2 linked regions of the Mytilus edulis genome follow. The protein of the gene in region 2 purifies or fractionates together with the protein of the main gene of each other region. This does not show direct contact. Links are inferred from orthologs where the notes say so. Each region holds a gene or a part of one and is shown on either strand. Other genes may lie near its edges.

Region 1 (7,529 bases), on a different chromosome or scaffold from region 2:
CATATTATCATATCGCGCGTTAAATGCCCTTTTTCAGGATTGGCACCCTGCCCTTTTGAAAACCTAGCTGGAACACTGTATATAATATTCAAATGGCTTCATCCAAACTGGACATCGAGAAAGTGAATTTCTCAAGTTGTATCAGCTTGGGGTTTGTTTTTCTAATCATATCCTCTCAATTGTTTTCAAATGGTAAAATTCATTACTGTAGAATTGCTGCCTTACCTATTATTAGTTCGAAAAGGTTATAATTAATACTTCAAAGCTTCTTCGGTGTTCGTATGGATAGCTATGGTAAGCCCGGCAAATGCTTGAAATGGTAATAAAACCCTGTGTTTAAATCGCTTTTAAAATCATTGTTTGTTCTCAAAGTTCGCTAAACAAAATTTTGAGTGTCGTCGGAAAATGCAGTCAATTTATTTTATCGCATTTCATTCATACATTTGTATATGCCTCTATTTACAATGATTTATTCTTTAAATTAAAACAATAGATGTCAATGTTGAAATCTTTGTTTATTTTCATCTTTCAAAGTCACCATTTTGTAAAATTTATTAGACTGGTTCCACGGTGTTACTTAATACAATGGAAATAATTCATTTAGAAATAGAAAACGAGTTGATCATGTGATCTGAAGTGAAAAATAAGCGGGAAATTTGAAAAATTATGATAATTACGAAAAAAATATAGCAACGCGCTTGAGTTAGATAGCACTGCGGTCAGTGCAATAGAATAGTGGGAAATTGTGATAGCGCTGATAATGGCAGAGCTAAAACGGCCTGGGGAGAACACTGAAATATCATTGACCTACCACTAGTGGTTCTCCATAAACTGACCTAATCACAAACTAAAACATGAAAACTAACCAAAATTTTTAAAGTCATTGGACCATGACAGAGGGTGCAGGGCCAAACAATCCGATTCTCCATGGAAATGAGATATGCCAATGCTTATGCAACTGCATACCAATTATCATTTACCTACCACTAGTGGTTCCTAAAGTGCCCTAATCACAAACTAATACATGAAAAACAAATAAAATTTCAAAGTCAATAGACCATAACTGAGGGGGCGGGGCCACATAATTTCCATGGTGATGAGATGTGCCAATACTTATCAGTGGTCTCGTTAGCCCAAAATAGAAGGGCGCCGCGCCCTGGGTGCCCTCAGCCGCGCCCTGTGTGCCCTCAGTCGCGCCCTTCTGCCCTGACGCCGTTTTAAAAAAAAAACCCTTGTGCCGTTTTGGTAAAATTGCCTTTGTTTCATCGATTTCTTATCAGAAGTTGAATTACAAATATGACACCTGGAGATTGCCCCCAGGTAATGAGGTTTATCATGTTATTACAATTAATTATTGTGGATAAGACTTCAATTAAAGGTGTTAATTACTAGGTAATTTAATTACGACAATGTACCTTTTTGTCATAAATATGATGAATGTGTCGGCATTTTCTTTCGATCTTCAAGTCACAATGAAAGTGTGTGCGAATGAAGACTTTCATGAATTTAGAATTGAATTGAAGTAATCAAAATAAAACTATGCCTTCTGACACAGAAACATCGTACATCTCAACTTGTGAGCGACAAGCAGACGTAAACATGGAAATTAATTTTGGAGTTATTTCCCCTGAAAATGCTTATTACAAAATTGTGCCCCTAAAATATTATCTAGTATTAAAAATAGGAAAAAATAACCAATTGAATACAAAATTATATAAGAATGTTACCTTAAGGATATTAACTGTCTTTGAACATACAAAAAAAAATATATTGCAATTTATTTTTGATAATCATACTTTTGGCAATCCATGTTTTATTTATTCTCAATATAGAAATATGAACTATTATTTTGTTTGAATGATGTCCAACCTGTCATGTTACTAAAATGCAAGTGTGCAGTAATACTCTCATCACAAATCAACTTGATGAAGCTATACTAAATAAGATATTCTTATACACGAACAATAAAAACAGGTTTTGAGGGCCAAGCTCTAGATGACATTTTGAAATACAACTTCTCTGTCATGTACATGTATGGTAAACTATGAGATGTTTAGTTTATGTTCTTTCTTTTGGAAGCAGAGGGGGTGGGGAGAATAGTAAGTTTATTTTGCCTCTTTTGGTTAATAGTATGAATGTGTATTGCCATGTATTATGAACATGATATAGTATGAATGACTTTTCTTATGCAAATTTTATAGAATAAATAATCAAAACAACAACTTTATAAATGCATCTTTATTAACAATATATACAGTAAAAAAATATGTGAACTCGTGATACACGCAGGGACGTAGAAAAAAAAATGAGCAGTGCCTTCTCCTATCATAAAAAAGTGCCCTGCCCTCCCCTGGCACCCTGCCCCTTTTGAATTCTAGCTAGAGCACTGCTTATACAACTGCATACCAAATATCTTTGACCTACATTGTACATGTACCACTAGTGGTTCACCATAAACTAGACCTAATCACTAACTAATACATTGTTGACGCCGCCACCACCGAAAACAGCATACCTATGTCTCGATTTTTGACTCCTTTATGCGAGACAAAAATGAGAAGGATTTTGAATGTTTGACATCGATTTTCATCAACCTGTAGATAGATTTTAATTTTACCAGGCATAATTCTTTAAATTTGTCTATAGTTCTGTATGAAGTTGTTCCCAGCATGCCATTTTTACCGTATTTATAAATGCCTAATTCGTTAATGGTTCAGTAAATGAATTCGGTAACCGTTACCGAATTCATTAACCTTACCAAATTTAGAGATTTCCAGAACTTGTAATGCTACTTTTGTACAGTTGTAGTGCTGTTGTTTCAAATATAGAAAGAAAAAAAAACATGTCACAATGAAAACATATGACAGGACTGCAGGATGATGAATAATTTCTTATACATTTGCCTTACCAACTGTCTTCTTCATCTTTCATTGAAAGATTTTCGATATCAACCAATTCAGAATCATCGCCTGATTCAGCAGGTTGATTCTTTAGATTTAAGGTGTCGGGAATATTGTTATTATGATGTAAAGTCAATTTCCCATGTTCAATTTCACCGTTCTGTACGTTTTCTGAATTGTTTTTTTGTCTAGAACGAAGCACTTCATTTTGCTTTTCAAGCTTTTTGACTAGATCTTGGAGTTTGCGAACTTCCGCTTCTGGGTCTATCGATGAATCTCCGCTATCCATGGTTATTGGACATTAGTTTTATAGTCAAATGACTTTGTAAAATACAAAATTGAACACAGTTGGGACACACTTCATATCTTGGAAGCCATTTTGTGTTTAGTTTAAACACGCATGCGCAAATGGTAACTTCCGTTTACATTTTCACTCATAGATTGCTGTGCGATCACTAGATTCATTATGAATCATTGGCAGGTGCGCAATCCTTTGATCTCTTGATTAGTATTAATTATCGATTAAAAATGATCCGGTTAGGAATTATTTTTGCGAAATATCGTCCCAAAGAATAATGAATAAACCGACCTATAGACTGAAAATTTAGCAAGTTGTATAATGAGTCTGTATGAGTTCTATAAATGTCATAAATCGATCTGAAACACAATCTGAAGGCTATGAATTGCTAATTATAGCCGTGTATTCATCTTTTATTACTTTTTTGTATGAAGTATCATTCTATAGAAAGTGCGAATCGAGAAACCCGTTTCTTATATAGAGTCGAGATATTTTCTGATACGAAATTTTAAAAATATATATGCAGACACTCCATGATGAAAAGCAAATGCATATTAATTTTGCTTATGTACAACACACTTGGGATAAAATGTTCAAACCTCATGTATGTACTTTATCCTTCTGAATACGTCTATATGTTAAAAATTCCTTCCGAATGTCAACAGTCTTCTCAGATTTCTTATGTACACAAGAAAATATCGCTACTCCACATAAGAAACGGATTTCTCGATTGGCATTTCCCGTAGACTGAGTCTACGAACTCCAACAACCATTTAGGTATCAGAATTTTATTCTTAGGTAAAAACATAAATTTTCAATTTTATCAAGGTTACGTTCAAGTTTATATAAGCATATAGATATGATATAAGCCACGGTAAACTAAACCAGAGACGTGTATCTACTATAATATGTCACTGATTATTTTTAAACAAAAGGTGAATGAATTGGCAGTCTAGTATTGAGAGACGATCGTGAAAGTTCTGGTAACGGATCGTGAAAGACATTTAATGTACATTCTAATTCAGAATCTTTGAAAAAAATCGCTTAATTTTCAAAACGCGGAACAAATCCGAACAAAAAAATATGTCTGTCAAAATGGTTTAACTTCCTCAAAATAACTGTGAAAACAGATAAAGAAAATATGAAGTACTTTTTGAAAAAACACAAAAGGCGCAATGTGTGTCTATGAAATTAATTACAATAACACGCTTTTTGTACCTATAATGGTCATATTTCAGAATATCATGATATATTTGAAATTCAATCTTTGGTTTATCTGATAGTACAGTAAAATTAAAGTATGTTCTTCCATTAAAAGCGTTAATTTATTTTTATGAAAACCTTGAATTTGTTTAATTTCCATCAAACTTGATCGTGAAAGATCAGGTATCGTATTGACGTTATGCACGGTATTCGGTCTATATGTTTCATTTGACCATTTCTTGATGCATAAGTAGGACAGGAACAAATCAATTATGCGTATTATCAAATAATTACTTGTCTTGGTTCATCAGTTTAATCGATATTAAATAAAACCTAATTTTAAAATATTTAATTTTATGTATTATTACATAATTTAGCAATAAGTCCCGTGTTCATAATGCCATTTTTGCCGTGTAAGACGTAACAACAATAACTTACCATACAAATATAAACGAAAAAAAATAATCAAAAACTATTGAATGGATTACGATGAAATTCAAACAGGTGGGATATAATATGATCATATGCATGGTGTGGAACGGTTACGATAAATATCATGTCAGTTCGCATTCTATAGTGGCCATTTTCGAAATTCCATAAAGCTGTAAGATTTGAAAATTCGAGTATACAAAAATGAAAGCAAGCACTTCGATATTACAATATTTTCACATAAGTCATAGAAAAGATTCGACACCTCTACACGCAAATGTAATTTTATTGAATTTTACGAACACTTATTTATTTCTAACATACTAGCTTCTCTCATTTTATTTTTTTTTCAATTTTTTCCGTGTCTCCCTTAAATGTTACCATAGAGCCATTGTTTAAGATTTTTCAGTACCATGCTAGTTTAGGGTATTTTAAATTTGTGACAGACAATTAAACTATGAAAACAAATGTTACTACTGAAATGTAATTTTTTTAATGATTGGTCTAAGCCTTCAATGTTAAGCAAACGCTAAATTTTTCATCAATTTCCATCAAGTTGTCCATGTCTCCCCAAAATGTTACCACGTCCAAATTGAACGTTTTTTGCATGGAACGTCAAAGTAACGTATATATATTTAATTTTCCATAGACTAAAATTTAAGCATTTTTGCCGGTGTCTTAAGCATTTGACACGTTCTGTTGAATGATATATTTTTGAGAGAGATTTCAAATATTTATTCTAAAATGTAATAAATCAACACGAAATTTGACTTCCATCAAAGTTTTGTAAACCATGTGCTGATTTTAAAGGCGTCGAAGTTTTTGATAAATGATAAGTTTTCTATAATACCGAACCTTTCGACTTTGGCCTTTCTTTAGTAAAAGATATGTTTCTGCTAGTACGAATGTTTGTTACATACACTAACAGTTATTTCCACGCATCCGACAAACTGACGCATGTGAAAAATACTGATCCTAATACTTCGAAATATAGAAGTTATAACCCTAAATTGACAAATTTAATTATTCTGTTTTCATTTTAGCCTACAATTTTAAAAGCTATAATAGTTAGAGAAAAACTTTAAACTGTAACATTGACCAGCAAGACAGGTTCTACAAATAAGTTTGCCTGGTCGAAATGATCAGTTGACTATACTTATTAGAGTAAATTGCCCTTTGATAACGATCTCCCATTTTTTTTAAAGACCTATTTCCTTGTTTTTAACGAGACATTGTAGTCGATACCAATTCTTGAACATTTCTTTTAATATACGATGACTGCATGGTCGAAAACCCGAAAATAATGACCTATTACAGTACATGTCTAGTCAATGCAAGTGCGGATCAATGATGTGCAAAAAGGACAGGCAAGCCACACGTTTTGAGTAATACTTGTAAAATGTCCATGTATGGTTCTGCTTAGAAGAAATATTATATGTCATTGACATGTTGATTAACAGCAACAGTAGAAGAATGTGTATACTAGAATCCAGTAACAGCATTTTTTTCTTTTAGAAATTTCAAACACGGCACAATGTGGCGAACTGGAGATAATGGAGGAGAATGATATGACAAACATCTTAAGAAACACAATAAAACATGCACAATTTCAGTGATTTAAAATTCTGCGTACCTCGAAACACCGTCCGACAGTTTTGACGTTTCTGAATATGATATGCCGACCATATTTATTATAGATGTCATGCCCGGTAGATAGCACTGTGATAAAAAAAAAACATCTGAAATACATGTATTAGATAAAATATTCGATAATTAGTTGTGGAGGTTGAGTCACTTCCTAAACATCAATTAAAAAAGCTGTTTTAAAATCAAACGCATACTGGGTACATTTTCGAAAGCATAATGCCATTCACTTTATAAAATACGAAGATTAAGACTAGTATGAATGCCAATGAGACAAGTATTCAACAGCAGAAAACAATCTAAAAGAGAGAAGAAAGACATAAGAGGGACAGTCAAACACACAGATCGAAAACAAACTGACAACACCATGGCTAAAAATAGAAAAACCCAGATAAACAATAGCACAGAAGACAAAACATAGAAAACCAAAGACTAAGCAACACGAAAACCACCAAAAACTATGGATGATCTCAGGTACGCAGGAAGGGCAAGCAGATCCTGCACCCGTCGTGTTGCTAATGTTATTACAAATCCGATAAAAAGTCTAATTCGGTAGGTCACAACCATAAAAAGTGGAGGGTATTGTAATTGCGACATAAGGAACATATCCGATATCAGCTGTGAAACGGTTATTCCATAACGGTCAACCAATTCTTGATGGCGTCCGTATAATTTAAGAAGGGATGATTTCAACTTCACCATTTGGAACTCTTGGTTTAATAGCTTCCTTGTGAGCAGCAAGCCTCAATCAAGGATATCATGAAAGGAAATACAAGCCAGCAATATCGTATCAATTGGGAGATTTATACTCCGTATGCAGGCGCTGCTGGAATGTTGCTACATAGAAATGGAAAGTTCACAATTGGGAAGCTGAAATCATCTCTTTTGTCGTAAAGTTTTGTTTTCAACCGATCGTCATTGTCAATTTCTAAATGCAAGTCAAGATATTAGGCAGACTTAACTGTATCTGTAGTATTCTTTATCTCAAGTTCGATGGGATAGATTCGTTCAACAAAGACATCAAATTTTGTATTATTCAGTGAGAGAACATCATC
Region 2 (7,675 bases):
TTTTACAAATTGTGAATTGGATATTAAGAGTTGTCTCACTGGCACTCATACGACAAATTCTTATATCTATAGATTAAAATGCTCGAAGTAAAAGTCTAAGTCCTGAAATCATGCTAATATGTTTGCAAAGAAATTTTGTAAGATACTAATTTTACCAATCATATGATGAAACAAAATAATTTCTGAACTGAAATCTAGTATTTATGATATTTCAGATTTAGGGCCTTTGTCAACAAGACAGCTATCAAACATCACAATAAATCCATAGATGTCATGATACCATAGAATGGTGATATAAAACTAAATATTATCTTGTAGTTATACAAAAATGATCAAACCTGGATGCTACAGCAGCATTCTCTACAAATGCTAGAACAGCATCCAATGCTTTTTCTTGAGCCACAGCATTGGTATCAGTGACAAACTTCTTCATAAGGCCAGCATAGCGCTGGAATTCAGGAGACTTGGGATCAGTCTGTTGGCTAAATATCTTTGTAACTTCTTCATATCCTGCTAGACGTGCTTTCCATGTCTATAATACAAAAACAAATAAGTTAATTTCCTCCTGTAACACTAAAGCTTCCATTTACACTTCCCTTTCAATCCCAATTGGTAGGTAACTCAGGTCCAAGCCAGTTTGAATCCTTCATAAGGTAAAATGATACTAATAGTTTTGGCATTGCAGTCTACACCATTTAGTGTTAACCACTAGATGGATGTCCCAAGACTAATTGAATATCATTTTTAATAGTAAGTATTTGTAAATATTTGTTTATAAACATAAGAAAGTTGTCTGAATATTGGTCATCTGACTTGTAGTTGGAAAAGAATTTGGTGCAGACTGGCATTGCACTAACCTGCTAACATGACCAAGTTATGCTTTTCTAAGATTGCTTTTGATGTTGTTACTCTAACTCTGTTGAATGTGCACTAATTTTTGTTTTAGTTTGGGATAACATAAATTTTATATGTATATATAACATGCATAACCTACATGACCTATATCTTTGTAAAGTTTAATTTTACCTTATGCTGGCACTTTTCTTCAGCAGGAAGTTTCAGCCATTCACTGTCATCTCCCATTATGGATTAATAATACTCCTGGAAAATACAATGTCATGAATGTTTACACATGTTAGAAAAAAAATATTGCTTTGAAGGAATATACTGATATTTACATGTAATTAATATGATTCTATCGTAATTTGTAAATATTAAGATTTCAATGACACAACTCTGTGATTAATAATCAATATGTCAATAAGACTGACATATTCCAGAACATGAAATCAGGGAGGGTACATGTATTTCAATGCTAGGTGCTTTTACAGTTTATTTGTGCTTCATATTGATTTATTAAGTAAAATATTTTTTACAGTTTGTTCTGATGTTGTGATGCAACACCAGGCATGGGCAGGGTTGTGTGCTCACAAACATGTTTAACCTCACCACATTATTTATGTTTATACTGTCTCAAGGTTTGAGTCCTAAATTCAGTGGTTGTTGTTGGTTCATATTTCAAATTATTTGTTTTTCATAAATTGTACAGTATACCATGTACACATTAATATTATTATAATTTAAAGTTTTATTGTTTTTATCATATGTTAAGTAGTAAATACAGTAGTTTTGCATATTTGATAAATAGCCTGCTGTTTAATCCATATCGCGCAACTCTGATGCGCACCCTTTATCGCATACCCTTTATCGCATACCCTTTATCACACCTCTACCCTTTATCACACCCCTACTTTTTTTTTTTTTTTTTTTTTTTATATGAAGCATGTAAAGTCAGTTTTGTTTGTTTTTTTTTGCTTAAGAAAAATTTTCCTCAAAATAGGTCAATTTTTTGAATGACGTCATTGTTTGGTATGTGACGTCACGAACGTCAAGTTTTCATATTGTATTTGACGTCAAGAACGTCAAGTTTTCATATTGTATTTGACGTCACGAACGTCAAGTTTTCATATTTTTTGGCACACTAATTGCAACTATAAAAAATACAAAACACACAAATAAATACAATAATAAACATTTTTTTTTTAAACAACAGCACGCAAATTGTAAGGTAGCCCAGGTGCTTCGGATAAGTAATTGAGCAGTACTTTTGAAAGCCTTTGAAACAAGACAAAAGTAGAACTGAAGGTAACCCAGTGCTATGGATCAGAAAACAGTTCATATAATATAATACTATTCTGTTGAAACATATGATAAAGCGTATAATACATGGCAAAATCCGTATCACATGCCGTATCACCCTCGACCAATATCATCCCTCGGGCCTAAAGGCCCTTGGGCTGATATTGATGTCTCGGGATGATACGACATATGATACAGATTTTGCCATGTATTATTCTCTATGTATCGTTATGTCTAGGCCTTTCATGAATATAAAGTATGAGTTTTTTTTTTTTTCATTACTGTAGACTGTAGGGTTATAAGTTAACTATAATTGCTTTTATCTCTATCATTTAAACCTCAGGAATTTTAATTGCTTAGCTTGAGGCGAAACAAGGGAACAGCGCCTAAGGCTCAAAATGTTAAAACTAAAAAAAACTTCTCTCCTTCAGATTCATTTGAATCCCCCATGTCTAACCCAGCAAAGCAATGAGAATGCACAACGTGCAAGGCGTGAAAGCGAAAAAGTATAATAGCCTTTCAAGATGTCATAATTATTTGTCAGCCATTACTGGACATCACACAGGTTCCTGTAAATTTTTTATATCATAATAAAAATATCTGACGCCACAATGGAAAAGTAATTGTTGTATGACGTCAATTGTTCAAGCAATACAAATTTTCGGTTCAGCTGGGAATAGACCTTATTGCTATTCTCGACTGAACAGAGAATCTGTCTCTCTCAAACTATTTCCATTGTGGCATCAGATATTTTCTATTATAACGTAAAAAATTTACAAGAACTTTTGTGATGTCCAGTAATGGTGGACAAATACACCTTATCGCTATTCCCGGCTGACCCGTCCGCTTGAACTTTTGACGTCAACAACAATCACTTTTCCATTGTGGCGTCAGACATTTTGTTTTATGACGTCAAAATTTTACGGGAACCTGTGTGATTTCCAGCAATGGCGGACAAATAGCGATAAGGTGTATAGCAATAAGGTGTATAGACTATAGGCTATAGACTGTATGATAAGGCGGATAACAAATCAGGTCAACACCTCTCCAGGAGAAAATACAACATATATTGCTATTTGCAAATGTTGTGAGTTTATTTCATTTCATGATCTGACAGTAAACATATATTATGAATCACTGACATCAGATTATGACAGTTGGCAACTTTACAAGTAAGAAAAAAGGGGACCTGCAAAAACAAAAGGGGATATCAAAGCAATTTATCCTAACAGTTTCAAGTGGTGATTTGGTAGGGATCAAATCAAAAGCATACTTACATATATGCAATATAAATATTTAGTTATCTCATATGAGCGCTGGATTTGAATGGTAAATATTTCGGTCAACCGGAAGTTTCGTGGCGCCATCTATAAACTTGGATTAACTTATAATTTTACTTTAATTAGTTCAGAATAGTATTTATACATCAATATTCTTAGGGTTTTTTTTAACTCAAAAAAAATATTCAACATTGACCAATTTTTCACAAAGCCAAATTTTGTCACACACTTTCGCGAACTCTAGAAAAAAAAATGGCAGCTTCCATGGAACATACACGATTGACATTTTCCGAGGCAAAATCACTAATTTCAAAGTGTTCTTTTTCCCATCTTGAAGCAGTTTCATCTAAGCGACATATTGTTTTACCCCCGAAGTTTTTCAACAGTATTTTACAAGGAGTGAGAGAACATCTCAACTCAGAACTGCAGTTAGTTGCAAGCTGGTAAGAACTCGAAGTGGTTTGAATACCTCCCCCCTTTTTTTGAAAATTTTCTGTGGACCACTTTTATTTTTTGCAATGAAATTTTCTACAGTTACAACTTGTTTTTACCTTAAAAATTGAGACTGTAAAAATGGGAAAGAATTTACAGAGTCCAAATTACGAATGTAAACATGGCTGGGACTATACATCTTATTGCTAATCCCAGCTGACCCGGCCGCTTGAACTTTTGAGCATACATCAATCACTTTTCCATTGTTGCGTCAGATATATTGTTTTATGACGTCAAAATTTTACATGAACCTGTGTGATATGCAGTAATGGCGGACAAATAGCGATAAGGTGTATTATAAATTTATTATACCGTACTTAAGGGTCTGCAAACTGAACAATCTGTTGAGATTTCATTGCCCCAATAGCGGATTATTGATTTTTGTTTTGGTTGACAGCGTATTGTGTCATGTAGTAAATTAGCATTCGGTACATGTAAACAATAGATTTCGGCAAACAAGTCAGCATATATATAGAAAAACAGTTAAAATTGGTGGACTTGAAATAAAGAATAATTATTAAACAGGGATAGAACTTAAGACTTTGGCAATTGTAGCCCACAGCTTAAAGTTTGTAGCCCAAATATAGTCTAATTTACAAGAAAAGCAGAAATTTAAGCAGCCCACACTAAATTAGAGGGGCCATTGGCCTGTGGGCCTCTGCTAATTTCATACCCTGTAATAAGCTAATTAGTTTAATGCAAAAACCAGATATTGTTTACGAAAAAATATTAAGAAGTAGTCAATATAGTAATGTTGAAAATAAACATGATAAACCAGATATAGTCGAAATGCAGCACTTTACTTGACCGCTAAGATAACAACGTGTCAAAGGTTGTCAGATCATAAATAATCCTGATGAAAACAATATGTGTGCAATAAAAACAATGTTGACAATTTCAATTCCTAATTAATTCATATAACAAAAGTTACCCTGGTCTCATGAAAATATAGCCACATTGTTTTAAACTTTTGTGAACTTCGTGTTTACACCAAAATTTCAATATGGCTGTGCATCATCGGGCCTACTTTTGTAGTTGTAATTGTGGAACCTAGTCTATTTTCACGAAGTCATATGCTTAATGCCACCTGAAGACCATTACTAAGCAAAATTAACCCTGATTATAATAAAATATTGCACACTTAAAAAGGAGTAGGCAATTTTGTAGGAACAGTAAAATTTATTTAAGCCGTGCATGTGGGTTCCGGTTGTAATGAGAAAGAGATATTTTTCCACTTGTCACTTTAAAACGACAATAAAAATAGGCAAATCCAAACTATAACCTATGAATATGATTTCACAACAAACCCAACTTGGGTATCTCTTTTCAATCAAAAGTTATAAGAAATTTAATTAATCATCTCCTTTTTTCCACATCGTTCCCACGTCATTTTCATCCTGAAAATTTCAATCTTTTTGTTATTTCTTACACTTAAGGCGGATTTAGTGATTAATAACAACTGTTAAAGATCGAGGTAACTTTTATCATTATAGTAATCAAGTTGTTGGCATGACACGGGTTATGTTCTTCTCATATATGTTATGATCGTATGATACTAAACCCCTAACGGGAAGGATTGTGCCTGATGTTCATATGATGAAATCATAATCTTTCAGTCAGTTTAATTGAAGTCTGGAGCTGGCATGTCAGTTAACTGCTAGTAGTCTGTTGTTATTTATGTATTATTGTCATTTTGTTTATTTTCTTTGGTTACATCTTCTGACATCAGACTCGGACTTCTCTTGAACTGAATTTTAATGTGCGTATTGTTATGCGTTTACTTTTCTACATTGGCTAGAGGTATAGAGGGAGGGTTGAGATCTCACAAACATGTTTAACCCTGCCGCATTTTTGCGCCTGTCCCAAGTCAGGAGCCTCTGTCCTTTGTTAGTCTTGTATTATTTTAATTTTAGTTTCTTGTGTACAAGTTGGAAATTAGTATGGCATTCATTATCACTGAACTAGTATATATTTGTTTAGGGGCCAGTTGAAGGACGCCTCCAGGTGCGGGAATTTCTCGCTACATTGAAGACCTGTTGGTGACCTTCAGCTGTTGTTTTTTTCTATGGTCGGGTTGTTGTCTCTTTGGCACATTCCCCATTTCCATTCTCAATTTTATTATATTAAGGATTATCATTTCTAATAACTATAAAATAAAAAAAATAATTTCAGAAATTATAAGATCAAGGCACGCTTTCACTATCAAATCAATATGGCGTATCCATAAATAGCGCAGGTAAAGTCTCGTTCTAACGACTGTGATTTAGATATTCTGATTGGTGTAATGGTTTCCAGTCCTGTTAGTATGATAGTCCCAGAAACATGGTAAATCTTTCTTCGTATTTCCGAACTCAGTCACAACTTTAACTAATTTGAGGCAGGCATTACCTGTGAAAGGGGATGAAGTCTATGATTTTTTTTCAATTCAAACATAATTTTAACATGTTTAACTTTAAAATCTGTTTAAAAAAAAGAAACGGAAATACCTTGACTTTTCTGATTTTTGTTCTGTTGATTTGGATTTTAGTTGTAACATTATTTGACCTCATACTCAATGTAAACAAAGATATGAAATCATCAGGTAACGTTTTTTCATATCAAAGAACTATTAAAAATGAAATTGGTATTGAGTTCCTTCCTATATTTTACTTGACTGAAAAATATATTTTACTCAAAGTCCCACGAAAACGAGACCGAAAAAAGGAAGAAGAATTTTAATTTCTGCGCAGATGTGTGAATTAAAAAAAGTTAACGCTTTTGAGTTCTGATTTAAAAAAAAAAATTATTGATTTTTCTACTGTAATATGGGACTTAGATGTCCATTTGAATTAATACACTTTTGTCCCCAATTATTAGATTACATTGCATAAGTGCACAGAAAAAATAAAATTAAACAATAACAGCTGATAATTGATTTTTTTTTAAACTCATGACAAATTCAAGGTGAATTTTGAATATTGTTTGATTAGGTAAAGTGACATCCGAGAATCCTGTAAAAAGTAAACAAGATGGATGAAGTTATATTGTCCTATTTCTTTCGCTAATACCGGTAATGAATTTAAGTGGCAACAATTTTAGTTTTTTCAGTCAATTAGAACATGTGGTACAATTGCCACGTTTTTACCAGAGATTAAATGATAAGGAAGAAAGCAACTAAAGGTTCTGTATGGCCTTTAACAATGACAAAAACATGGCCAATATCTTATAGCTAAAAGGCACTAATGACAAATGTAAAAAGAATCAAACAAGAACCGACAACATTCATGTAAATTAACCAAATATTGAAAACGGCAACAAATAACAACCACTGAGTTATTAAAAAGTACAGACTCATGAACATGACTAAGGACAGGCACATACAAAATGCAACAGAGTAGAACCCACCTTTTTTTTGGCTGATCAATGCATTTGAATGGGGACATATAGTTGGAACCCCCTTTGTCCTGGGTTGGGGACCCCCCTTTTTTAAAATGGCTGGATCCGCCCCTGGTATAGATGTTGTGTTAGTAATACTACAACATGTACATACATGTATTAAATTAAAATGATGTGATATGATTGCCAAAGACACAATTCAATATAATAGTCCAAATGACATAAGGTGAACAACTATAGATCACATTATAACATTTTCGAGTTAGGCAATGCAAAAAAGAATGATGGTTTCACCTAACCCTCCTCAGTATGTTTTACAGATGTAAAAAAAAAAAGTAGTAAAACTTGTTAAACATTTAAAGACATTTATCAATGATGCTTTAATTGTC

What was found.
Region 1: the proteins of cytoskeleton-associated protein 5-A-like (region 2) and SLAIN motif-containing protein 2-like purify together in Homo sapiens (affinity purification with mass spectrometry; 4 studies listed by BioGRID and IntAct, counting the BioPlex papers as one, with this or other methods). This does not show direct contact. The link is inferred for Mytilus edulis from reciprocal best matches to the Homo sapiens genes CKAP5 and SLAIN2.

Annotation. Positions count from the first base shown.
Region 1 is NC_092351.1:65,362,515-65,370,043, reverse strand, and holds the start of SLAIN motif-containing protein 2-like, read right to left. Parts: upstream 3,305-7,529; 5' UTR 3,190-3,304; coding exon 2,909-3,189; intron 1-2,908.
Region 2 is NC_092350.1:28,387,617-28,395,291, forward strand, and holds the start of cytoskeleton-associated protein 5-A-like, read right to left. Parts: upstream 3,543-7,675; 5' UTR 3,417-3,542; intron 1,102-3,416; 5' UTR 1,084-1,101; coding exon 1,027-1,083; intron 533-1,026; coding exon 339-532; intron 1-338. Other genes in the region: DNA-directed RNA polymerase I subunit RPA43-like, read left to right, coding at 3,672-3,862. UniProt on the Homo sapiens protein: Binds to the plus end of microtubules and regulates microtubule dynamics and microtubule organization. Acts as a processive microtubule polymerase. Promotes cytoplasmic microtubule nucleation and elongation. Plays a major role in organizing spindle poles.